Arabidopsis thaliana: one gene and its partner. The protein of the gene in region 1 interacts with the protein of each later gene in a pairwise test. Each region holds a gene or a part of one and is shown on either strand. Other genes may lie near its edges.

Region 1 (6,392 bases):
AGCGCCTCTTAAACCACAAAGCATCACCTCTGTCTTCTCTCATCTCCTTTCTGTATTCTCTTTCATTGCCTTCACGTCTGTTGCAATTTCTCCACTTCTTGAGCTTCCGTTTTTTACAATTATTGATCCGTCAAATATGTGAGATTTGCACAACTTGTTGCTCAGGTATTTTGAAGACAAGTCCACAAGGGAACAAGTGAAGCTGCCAGCATGATCTATCTTTGGTTAAGAGATGAATGTGGAAACATATTGCTTAAACCCAAGCTAGGTCATGCTCTGACAGCCTCACTCCTTCCTGGTTTAGGACCATTCATTGATGAAGCATTCCACATGCCGATTGAAAGAAAAATAAGAGTCCCGAACGCACACAGTTGACTACACGAAACCGGTGTAAGGCTCTCTGTTTTCTCCCTGCTTTGACACACTCTCCACTTTATTTTTCTCATGTTTTTGCGCTCTAGATCTATCATAGGTGCATCATGTTTTAGTGTTTCAAAGAACTTAGACTGTGCAAAGCCAAACGTTTTAATAAAAAGGAAAACAGTTTAATACCAAAATGGTGTCTCTCACTCAATTACAAGACAAAGTATACCTTTCACAAGTTTGACCAAAACGAACTACTATAACCCTTATTTCAAGACAGTGTACTTCTAGCATACATACTTAGTTTAAAATGTACAGACGACGTAGCTTTAAAATGTACAGACAGTGTAATTTACCCTTGACACTGCTGTAAGTAAATAAACCAAAATTACACTTTACTATTCACCAATGGCTACCCCAAAGCTCAAATTCACAATTCTTTTTCCTTTATTTTCCTAAGCCATCAACATAACATTTTGAACCAATTTAGTAGTGTCGTGTTATGTTTCCATAGACGTGAACTGAAAAGCCAACTTGTTGCAGCAGTTTGAAAGAACTTTGAAGCCAGTGAACATAACCTCGTGTTCCACGACTCTTTTGATCAGAAGCAGAAGCATCTCTTGGTGGGGAACCATCAAGGTTTCAGATTTGACCCTTTTGATCGTTCAAGGGAGCTGGAAGTTATCTTATCAGACGAGTCCCACTCTGTGCTCCTGATCATCAATTATCCAGCCATCCGTAGAGAACTGCATCTGCTATGGTAGGCTTCTCAAGGTTTCTTGAGAGATGGGCTTCTTGAACCCTTAAATAAGGATCTTGGATTCTTAAAGTAACTGAGGAATGGTGTCTCAGAAACAGGTATGAATTTTGTGAAAAAGCCGATCGGCCATGAAAGGGATGCAAGTGCTATGCAAGTTCCCCATTGCCACCCGTTAAGCCTTACTGTATCCGCAAACTTCTTTAGGAATTCCACCATAATGACTTGAAGCACAATAGTTATCGCTATTATTCCAATGAACAACCTGTTTCTGTGAAGGCCTTTGAACACATTTTTCTTCTCCATCTCCCTCGCATTGAATTCGTTAAAAACTTGACAGAGCACGAAAGTGTTGAATATGAGCGTGTCCTTCACTTCCTTGCGAACACTGAATATTGACATACCCTTGAATTGTAAGATCAAGAGTACGGCTATTTGATATAATGACTGAACCAGGAGATTCCTCCACATGACATTTGTTATCAGGGCCTCTGTTCGGCCAACTGGCTTTCTCTTCAGGAGCTCGTTAGTGGGTCGCTCCGTGGCGAGAGCCAGAGCTCCCAATGTGTCCATGATGAGGTTTACCCACAGCAGTTGAACTGCTGTCAAAGGGACCTCACCGGCTGAAATTGCTGCGATAAAATTGATCACAAGAGCTGCAACGTTCACTGTTAGCTGAAACTGAATGAATTTCTGGATATTGTTGTAGACACACCTTCCCCATTTTAAGACTGTGGCAACGGATGCGAAGTTATCATCTAGAATTACAATGTCTGAGCTTTCTTTTGCCACTTCAGTGCCCTGAATTCCCATAGAGAGTCCAATATCTGCTTCTTTTAGTGCAGGTGCATCGTTGGTGCCATCCCCTGTGACGGCTACCACATGGCCTTTAAGTCTCAGACACTTGACCATTAGAAGCTTGTCGGAGGGAGAGGACCTTGCCATGACCCGGATCTTATCAACTTTCTGCATTCTCTCTTCGTCCGTATAATTTCTGAATTGAACACCTTCTACAACAGCATCTTCTTCATCTTTGTCATTGTGGTCGAGGATTCCGCATTCAAAAGCGATAGCTTTTGCAGTGAAAACATTATCTCCCGTTATCATCTTAATGGTGACTCCTGCAAGTTTGCAAGTTTCCACAGCTTTTGAGACACCAGGTCGACAAGGATCTTTCAGACCCACTATTCCCATCAAGGTCAAGCCATCTTCCTCTAATACCGAGTCATTTGACGCTATTTTATGAGCGAATGCTATGCATCTGAGGCTACTGGCCGCCATACCTTGGATTATTGCCTGAATTCTGCTCTTTGCGGTGGAGTCCATTAAGTCAACAGACCCAGTGCTTGTGTAGTAGTGAGAACACATAGCTAGGACCATTTCAGCGGCTCCTTTCCAGTGTACATGGACTGTATTGTCAGATTTTCTTCGGACCAAAACTCCGCTTCTTTTCTTTGCTGAACTGAAAGTTTCAACGCGGAGAACTTCATGTTTCTGCTTTACTGACTCCATATCCATACCCAGATTTAGCACAGTCCAAGACAAGAGGGCCTTCTCTGTTGGACTGCCTGAGAACTCAGGCGTTGATCCTGAGTCTGACACACAGACACTTCCCGTTGTGTTCAGACCGGTGCCTTGGTAAAGCAGATCAAGAACGTCTGGTGAGATCATTTTGGTAGAGTCTTCATGGATTGACTCTTGGCCAAGCCAAAACTTGGTAACCTTCATCTCGTTCAGTGTTAAAGTACCTGTTTTGTCTGTGCATATCACTGTCGCTGAGCCCATCGTCTCGCATGCCGAGAGCTTTCTGACCATAGCTTGATCAGACATCATTCTCTTCATGGAGTAAGCCAGCGTCAGAGTCACAGCCAATGGCAAGCCTTCTGGGATAGCTACTACGACAATGGTTACTGCAGCTGCCACGATTCGCACAACGGAATTGACCACAGTGTCCACAGGTGTTTTGCTCCCGTTGTATTCTCTTTTGCCCTCTTTCTCTGTGTTCCCAGTGAAGTAACGGACTAATAGAACTACCAGAACAAGTGCTGCCACCGTAAGACCAATTTTTCCGATGGTGGAGGTCAGCGTGTCAAGACGGACTTGCAAAGGTGTTCTCTCGCTGGAATCTTGATTTATGGAGCTCATCGTCTGTCCCCAGGTTGTACTCATACCCACAGAGACAACGAGCATTTGAGCAAACCCATCGACTATCTTTGTCCCTGAGAACAAGAAGGGATTATCCTTGTGGTCCACTTCAAGATGGTCACTCTCTCCTGTCATACTAGACTCGTCCACCTGAAGTGAATGCCCTTCCAAGAACAGACCATCAGCGGGAATCTGATCTCCGATCTTCAAGAAGACAACATCACCAACAACAACGTCAAAGATGGAGATATGTTGCCGCCTGCTGTCCCGAAGGACTTCCACTTTGATGTTATTGCTTATCTTGGACAGCTTGTCGAACTGTCTCTCCTGCCTAAAGTTGCTGAGAGCAGAGACAACTATGACCAAGAAGACTGCTACAAAGATGCTTCCGCCTTCATACCAACCTTCTTTGATGCCATGTTCTTTGATACCGAAGCCAAGGGAGAAAATAGCGCAGACCAACAAGATCAAGATGGTTAGGTCTTTGAAAGCTTCATACACAAAGAAGAGAAGTCCTTTAGGCGGTGGCTTATGGTAGGTGTTAGAGCCAAAGAGGTCACGGCGTCTACTGACTTCTTGCTCATTCCCGTGGATCCCTTTGGTGGGGTTAGTCCTAAGGGAAGCGGCGACACCCTCCACGCCGCCCAGCGCTTGGATGCCCGGTAAGTCCTTACCCTTCATGATCTCCACAAGTTGTTCTTGATCAATGGCAGGAACGTAAGAGAGAGGCATAGAGTTGATCTTTGCTCCCTCACCGGACTCGAGGGCTGTGTAGGAGAGAGAGAGAGAGGCATCTGAGGTTTTGGGATCAATCCTTGCGGGAACTATCTCCTTAACAAGAGAGAGCATAGCCCTCATAGAGTAGATGGCAGCGTAGGCAAAACGCCAACGCCTCTGGGCCTTGTTGAGGCTGGAGGTGGTAAGGTTGAGCAAAAGTGCACTGTAATCATATTCCTTGAGGTCCCTCATGCTTTATTTGTGTGAAAGAAAGAGAGTTTTTAGAAGGAAAAGAGTCTCGCTCTCTCTCAACTAAATGTGGTGTTACTTGTAAGACACTTAAGACTCGCAAAGAATGATTTCTCTCTCTCTAATACCCTAAGCTTCGTGGTACTATTTAAATCCGTATTGGCCGCCTTTTGATTGCTATTTATCTGCTTTAAAATATTAAATATCTCGTGTAAAGTAACTTGTCCTAGTTTAATATTTTCAGGCGGTGGAACCACTCAGAAACGTTGTAAACACGAAGTCATGTCGATCAAAGGACATGGGCCGCACATCCTTTTGTACTTGTGTTTTGACTTATCTGTTGTCTCGTGTTTCGGTTTGGAACCACTGTGCCCTAAAAGAGAGAGTTAATCTGAGATTTTGGTAGTAATTTCTAAAGCAGCCGTATGATGTAATGGTGTGGACAAGCCGTCATTGTAGAATGAGGAGGAATAGCGTGCGTGTACCAACTTGCTTAGTCCGCACGGACAAATGAAAAGAAATGGCGAATATAGTAAAGCGAAAGAAGAAAAAAAGGATTTAGATTGAATCTTCCACACCAACTTGGTTTGGTATAATATCTATCAAGTGAAATTTATACTACTCAAACTCAAAATCCGTCTACTTTTCCACAAATCTATGTTTAGAAATAATAAAATGGAGCAGCGTGTACGACGAAGGCATTATGAGTTTGATCACCGAAACTTCATAGCACTTTCCATTTTCGCTGTCATCTCTTTCTTTGTTCATGTGACGACAGCAAGACATAAAAGCAGTTGACTTTATTTTTATAAACAAACAAAATAAGTTGACCTCCACTAAAACTAGACGTGAGGTGAGACCAGATTTGGCATAAAATTCCGATACAAGCGATGAAGTGAATGTCGAGAAACTCCTCAAATCATATACATACATACACAGAGATGCTCAGTGACATACATTAGATCACGAGTTACTGTATGTGGATAAGAAAGAAACAAGAGTGTTTGCACCAAAAGCAGTAGCAAGCTTAACAAAATCCCAACCAACAAATACAATGGCTTGCTCGAGAATAAATAGACTAACCATCATCTTATGAAACTAAACAATGGTTCAGGAATAAGTAGAAGGGAAGATTACAACTAATTAAGCTCACTCATAACGGTAACTAGTAATAACAAAGCTCTCAGCATGCAACAAATTAAGAGCTATGGTTTAAGAAGAAGATCCCTGGCTGTGCAGCAGCAGTTGTTGGTGTGCAGACGCAGTGAACCACCAAGCCCCATGAGATCCCTCCACCTGCTTTCCTCCGGCATTGAAGCTAGCCACACCAATCCCTCAACCTCCTTGTCCTTGGCGATTCGCGCATCTAAAAAGGCACCAGAGCACTTGTCTTTGGCGAAAGCAGCGCACTTGCCCTTGGCGGCAGCCACACAGCCCTCGAATTCCCGCTCTTCGCACTTCTCTCGTTCCCTCATGTCACCACCAGATCCCCGCCACCACGGCGGCTTACAGTTGTTGGAGGCGGAGACGGCGCACCCAATTTTAGCACCTTCCTCGCACTGGTCCTTGATTAGGGTTTCGCAACGCTTGAAAGCGGCTGACCATGAATCCAGTGATCGGAAAGCTAGAACATAAGAACCACCGGAGGGTACAGGTCCCCGGAGCAGCGGAATCGGACGGTCGAACACAACGGTAGTCGCAGCCGCCGAGAAATCATCGTCATCTTCCATCATTTCAATTTCTCTTCAAAGGCCCATCGGGCTTTTGATTGAGGCCATCCACCTATATTTATTTAATTAATTAAGTTTGGGGGATCCAAAACATAATTAGTATAACGATACTACTACTAACCGACTGGACTAGATTATTCTACTTGATATATCCTCTCGAGAACTATTGCTGCCGCTACTCGTTTCATATCTCCGTCTCCGGCTCGATCCGCCAAGTAGAGTAAGCAGGTATCTCCGAGCATCTTGACATCGCTTCTTTCCTGCTTCTGTTTCCTTTGACCTTATTACAGAGGGAGGACTCATCATTCTTCTTTCTCTTCTACTTTTTTTCATGTTTATTTTGGGGTTTAGGGTTTTAGAAGTTTGATCGATCTGTTATTATAACTTTGGTTTCAATCGATCTGGGTGTCCATTTGCTTTTCGATGTTTAG
Region 2 (5,775 bases), about 21 Mb from region 1:
ATTCTCTGCTCAATGAGGTTGGAACCATTATTTGAACGCTATGATGAATTCTCTTCTTCCTGTCGTTTTTTCTTTGCAGTTTATCCGAGAGTACTCTGGCAAAGTGGATGAGCTAATAAAGGACAAGCTTGAGGCACAAAAAGAGGTGAAGGCCAAAGAGCAGGAAGAGAAGGATGTCATATCCCAACAGGTACTACTTATGACACAGCTACACTGGATATCATCCGACTCTTTATCTTGACAGATACACTTAAAGGAGTAATATGTTTTTCTTTTGTTTTTAAACAGAACATGTATGCCCAAATGTTGCCACTTGCTTTACCTGCACCACCGATGCCAGGAATGGGAGGTGGTGGTGGGTATGGTCCTCCACCACAAATGGGCGGTATGCCAGGAATGCCTCCCATGCCACCATATGGAATGCCACCGATGGGCGGCTACTAAAGCAGACCAGCTTATGCTTTAATATCCGCATTTGGAAAAGTATCAGTAGCGCATAGAGTCGGCCCAATTTGCTAGGGCGGTGTTCATCTGCTAGCTAGCTTATATGTCTGACCAGAATTTGTCTGGGAATAATGTGGATAATAACCTCCTTTCGTTGTAATATTCTGTTGGGTTTAGGTGAGTAATTTTTTTTTAACTTTTTGTCAAAAGCCATTTTTGAGTATATATACTCAACTCTCTTACTCATATGAGTTTTGTAGTTGTACTTTCCTTCAGCATTTCATTCCATTCGACTTTCGATTTATTAAACCGTTGATCAGTTTCACCTTGTTGTTATTCATATATGAAACAATTAATATCGAGAAGGACTAAATAAATCCTTCATGAGAATTTGGTTGACCTCAGAACAATCATCATCATTCATCAGCATCAGAAAGACATAGATGCAACGTGAATCTCATTTTCATGAAATAATAATGAAATCTTAGGGTAGGTTTATTTCACATGTACACATAAAAACCTAAGTACCAATAGTCATCTGAACATCATGAACTAAAAATTGCATCCCTCCGTAAACACACATTTCTGCTACATTACTAAGAAAACGTTCTGGATAGAAAGATTCAATCAACCCAACATACTTTGTTTTTATTAGTATACTTAGATGACATACAAATTCACTTGGTATTTCTAATATCAAAAGTTCAACCTTCACCAGGATAAAACTCATCCAGCGCAGACACTAACTATAGATAATCAATTAAACCAAAATGATAAGCAGATTGAAGAACTTTAAGGAGAATCAGTAACTCATAAGGATCATTCCATGTAATAAACATAATTCTAATAGAAAACATAGATTCGATTTGGTCCAACAAAACATTCAAATTGAAAATTGCAAAACCAACAAAACTCACATAAGAGTTGGTTCTAAAAAGAAGAAAGACAAAACAAACTCCCGAATCTACTTAGATCGCTGTCTCATCTTTCGTCTCTTCCTCTTCAATCTCCTCATACGCTTCTTCTTCCACTGCAACACACAAACACACAAACCATAAAGATCCTACACACTACTTCAATTTCTCATCACTAAAAAATCCATTAAACAATCAAAACCCATTACTAACCTTGGCTCTCATGCTGATTTCGCAGAAGCTGTCTCCTTCGTTCCTCTGATTATTTGTTTAGCTTTACAGGATGAGGAGCGGCGGAGATGAATAGAAAGATTTTGTAGCTTACGCTCTTATTCCTCCTTTAAACAACAACAAAACCCTAGTAACTAACTTAATGGGCTTTATTATTTCAAAAGCCCAATAAAACCCAAATGGATAAGAATTTGCCAGAGGGGATATTCGCACAGAGAGAGAAAGAAGATCTTTTTCCGACAAGGTTCAAGATCGATTAAACATTACATGGAGGAGATTCACTAGAAAGAAAGGAAAAAAATCTCTTTGTCTTTGCAGATGCGACACGCAAAACGACGATTCTGATCTCGCTTGTCTGATTTCAAAAACAATGAGAAGATAGTTCTGATTATATAACACACAAACCCTACTTCATTCCTTCATCATCGTCTCCAATCATTACCCAAAGATCCGTCTTTTTCTTTACTTCATGTCGAAGCAAACGTACAAAGTGTGTTTCTGCTTTCGCCGGAGGTTTCGTTACACTGCATCGGAGGCACCGCGTGAGATCAAGACCATTTTCGAAAAGTACTCAGAGAATGGAGTTATGACCGTTGATCATCTCCACAGGTTTCTGATCGATGTTCAGAAACAAGATAAAGCCACCAGAGAAGATGCACAGTCAATTATCAATTCTGCATCTTCTCTTCTTCATCGTAATGGTCTCCATCTTGATGCTTTCTTCAAGTACCTCTTTGGTGATAATAACCCTCCTCTTGCTCTCCATAAGGTAATTTTCGTGTTATTTCGATTTTATGAGTTCAGAATCTGAAGTAAACTATGATTGATTGATATAAGAAACTCAGATTTTGGATTGGGATTTTTCGTTTTCCTTGTTTGGTAATTGAGGAAATGGTGTGAGGAAGTGAGATTTTTGGAATAATTTGTTTGAATGTTTCACTGAGTCTAATCAAGAGTTCGAACTTCGAAGCTGCTGTTTGGTAGAAAGTCGTAGGAGCTATGTACTTTTTAGGTGTTGTGGAATAAGTCTGATTCAAGAATTTGAAGCAATAGAATTGTTTTTCTTTTTATGTCTCAAAAAAAAAAAAAAAGTTGAGAAAGTAACATATCTAGGAATGTGACATTTACTCTATTAGGAACTCTGACACAAAAATCCATGATACAAGTAATTAATATTTTTACAATTCCGGCTATACATGTAATTGTGACTCAATTGTGCTAGCTTTTATTTTCAGATTGATTATAGACTTATCTCTAATGAATTTGTGGTGTTTCAGGTGCATCATGACATGGATGCTCCTATATCGCATTATTTCATATTCACTGGTCATAATTCTTATCTGACTGGTAATCAGCTGAGCAGTGACTGTAGTGAGGTACCTATTATTGATGCGTTGAAGAAAGGTGTTAGAGTCATTGAATTGGATATATGGCCCAATTCCAACAAAGACGATATTGATGTTCTTCACGGAATGTATAATTTTGCTTCAAATTTATTTCGAAAAACAAGTCAAGGTTAGGTGCTTGGCGTTTAACTTGTTTACTGAACCATTCTTAAACAGGACTCTCACTACACCTGTGGGGTTGATCAAATGTCTCAAAGCTATCAGAGCACATGCCTTTGATGTATCTGACTATCCTGTTGTTGTAACTCTTGAAGATCATCTTACTCCAGATCTTCAGTCTAAAGTTGCTGAGGTAGCTTTTTATTTTGCATTTCTTTCTTTGCTGCTTTAATAGATGAGTACATTGGTTTTGAGATGTGTTTTCTTGTTGTATGATAGATGGTTACTGAGATATTTGGGGAAATTCTGTTTACTCCTCCTGTGGGAGAATCTTTGAAGGAGTTCCCATCGCCAAACTCTTTAAAAAGACGTATTATCATCTCAACCAAACCCCCAAAAGAGTACAAGGAAGGAAAAGATGTGGAAGTGGTGCAGAAAGGTAAAGACTTGGGGGATGAAGAAGTTTGGGGAAGAGAAGTTCCGAGCTTTATTCAGAGGAACAAAAGTGAAGCTAAGGTGTGTACGAAGACAAATCATTTTCATTCTGTTCTGTTGCTGTTCATGGACAAACATGTTAGTTTTCTTTCTTGTTGCAGGATGACTTAGATGGAAATGATGATGATGACGATGATGATGATGAAGACAAGTCTAAGATTAATGCACCACCCCAGTATAAACATTTGATTGCAATCCATGCTGGGAAACCAAAAGGCGGAATTACTGAGTGTTTAAAGGTAGATCCTGACAAGGTTAGACGCCTTAGCTTAAGCGAAGAACAACTTGAAAAGGCAGCAGAAAAATATGCGAAGCAGATTGTGAGGTATAGTCATATTATGTTTTTATGTTTCTAAGTAATAGTTGCAGTTTGTCAACTCAATATGAATCCTGTTAATCATGGTGTGGCGCAGGTTTACTCAGCACAATTTGCTGAGGATATACCCAAAAGGAACTAGAGTCACATCATCAAATTACAACCCGTTGGTTGGCTGGAGCCACGGTGCTCAAATGGTGGCTTTCAATATGCAGGTATCTCCTTCTGCTATATTACCAACTTCTTTCTACGTAGTAGTAAAACTTCTAGTTATTTTGGAGGAGCTATGTTCCATCATTTTACAGGACATCAACCTTATTCCTCAGCTGATTTGATTGTGATCTTTTTCCATGTACAGGGGTATGGAAGATCATTGTGGCTAATGCAGGGAATGTTTAGAGCCAATGGCGGATGTGGCTACATCAAGAAACCTGACCTTCTGCTGAAAAGTGGTTCGGATAGTGACATATTTGACCCAAAAGCTACTCTACCTGTGAAAACAACACTTAGGGTGAGATATCTGATTCTCTGGTTGGTCTTTCTTTTACCAATTCAAATCCGATCAAACTCAGTGAACTTATTCTTTCCCTTAGGTAACTGTATACATGGGAGAAGGCTGGTACTTTGATTTCCGCCACACACACTTTGACCAATATTCACCGCCTGACTTCTATACAAGGGTCAATTTTTGATTCCCTGCCTTAAACCTCACACAAATGTTTTGAGATAGAACTGTTTCTTGTCTCTTATGCTTGCAATATAACAATTTGAGCTTTTGATGCATATTCAGGTTGGGATAGCTGGAGTTCCAGGGGATACAGTAATGAAGAAGACGAAAACACTGGAGGATAATTGGATACCAGCTTGGGATGAGGTGTTTGAGTTCCCATTAACCGTTCCAGAGCTGGCCCTGCTACGATTAGAAGTGCATGAGTATGACATGTCAGAGAAAGATGATTTTGGAGGACAGACATGCTTACCGGTTTGGGAGCTAAGCGAAGGAATAAGAGCATTTCCTTTACATAGCCGGAAAGGAGAGAAGTACAAATCCGTTAAGCTTCTCGTGAAGGTGGAGTTTGTGTGAGACATGATTAAGAAAGATACAGCATTTAAACTTGTCTGGTAGGTTTGAGTGCCACAGAGTTTGTGAATTTGGAGGATTTGTATGTGTGAGAGAGAATGTATGCTTGATTTGTTGTTTGTAATATTATGTACATAAAAGACGAAAGTGAGAGAGAGAGAGACGGTCTTGTATCGTGTGTTGTTGTATTATTATGTAGTAGTCTCGTGTAACACTTGAATCGTATGATGATTTGTGGTTTTTGTGTAACAAGTGTGTTTTAAAACTTGTTTGATTCCATTCCACCAAGAAGGCTTCAAAGAATTTTCTTATGTATCACATAAAACTGATCGAATTTCCATAAACATAACCAATCACACCCCATAAAACAAAATTGGCCAAAAAGAAAAGAGAAAGGATATTTTAGTAAATGAAAGAGAGAGGTGGTGGTGGAGGTGGAGGAAGCGCGCTCTATCTCAAAAACGTTGGGGTCTGCTTGGTCCTCAACAATTGAAAACCGTACAAATTCAATTTCTTCACATAAAGCTCTCTCTTCCTTCTCCATTCTTCCACCCTTTTTTTTCTTCTCTCCGCACAAATCCCCAAATGTCCGATAGGTATCGTAATCCCCCAACTTCTCGATTCATCAAACTCTTCAATTTTGTGTCTCTTTGATTGGTGATAAAGATTGATTCTTTCGTTTCTGGGGACGATGATTCATTTGATTTCTTTTTTGTAGGATACTGTGCAAGTTCTTTGTCCATGGCTCGTGCTTGAAAGGCGAAAATTGCGAATTTTCCCATGACTCTA

The links.
Region 2: the proteins of AT3G63380 (region 1) and PLC2 interact in a protein complementation assay, tested with the Arabidopsis thaliana proteins (one large-scale study listed by BioGRID).

The regions. Positions count from the first base shown.
Region 1 is NC_003074.8:23,405,980-23,412,371, forward strand, and holds AT3G63380 (ATPase E1-E2 type family protein / haloacid dehalogenase-like hydrolase family protein), read right to left. Parts: upstream 4,382-6,392; 5' UTR 4,235-4,381; coding exon 1,133-4,234; 3' UTR 505-1,132; downstream 1-504. Other genes in the region: AT3G63390 (uncharacterized protein), read right to left, coding at 5,437-5,964. UniProt on the Arabidopsis thaliana protein: This magnesium-dependent enzyme catalyzes the hydrolysis of ATP coupled with the translocation of calcium from the cytosol out of the cell or into organelles.
Region 2 is NC_003074.8:2,581,840-2,587,614, reverse strand, and holds PLC2 (phospholipase C 2), read left to right. Parts: upstream 1-1,716; 5' UTR 1,717-2,058; coding exon 2,059-2,358; intron 2,359-2,866; coding exon 2,867-3,063; intron 3,064-3,151; coding exon 3,152-3,287; intron 3,288-3,373; coding exon 3,374-3,610; intron 3,611-3,690; coding exon 3,691-3,914; intron 3,915-4,002; coding exon 4,003-4,120; intron 4,121-4,263; coding exon 4,264-4,416; intron 4,417-4,498; coding exon 4,499-4,585; intron 4,586-4,695; coding exon 4,696-4,989; 3' UTR 4,990-5,253; downstream 5,254-5,775. Other genes in the region: AT3G08530 (Clathrin, heavy chain), read left to right, coding at 80-190, 289-444; AT3G08520 (Ribosomal protein L41 family), read right to left, coding at 1,409-1,474, 1,572-1,583; AT3G08505 (zinc finger (CCCH-type/C3HC4-type RING finger) family protein), read left to right, coding at 5,572-5,582, 5,705-5,775. UniProt on the Arabidopsis thaliana protein: The production of the second messenger molecules diacylglycerol (DAG) and inositol 1,4,5-trisphosphate (IP3) is mediated by activated phosphatidylinositol-specific phospholipase C enzymes.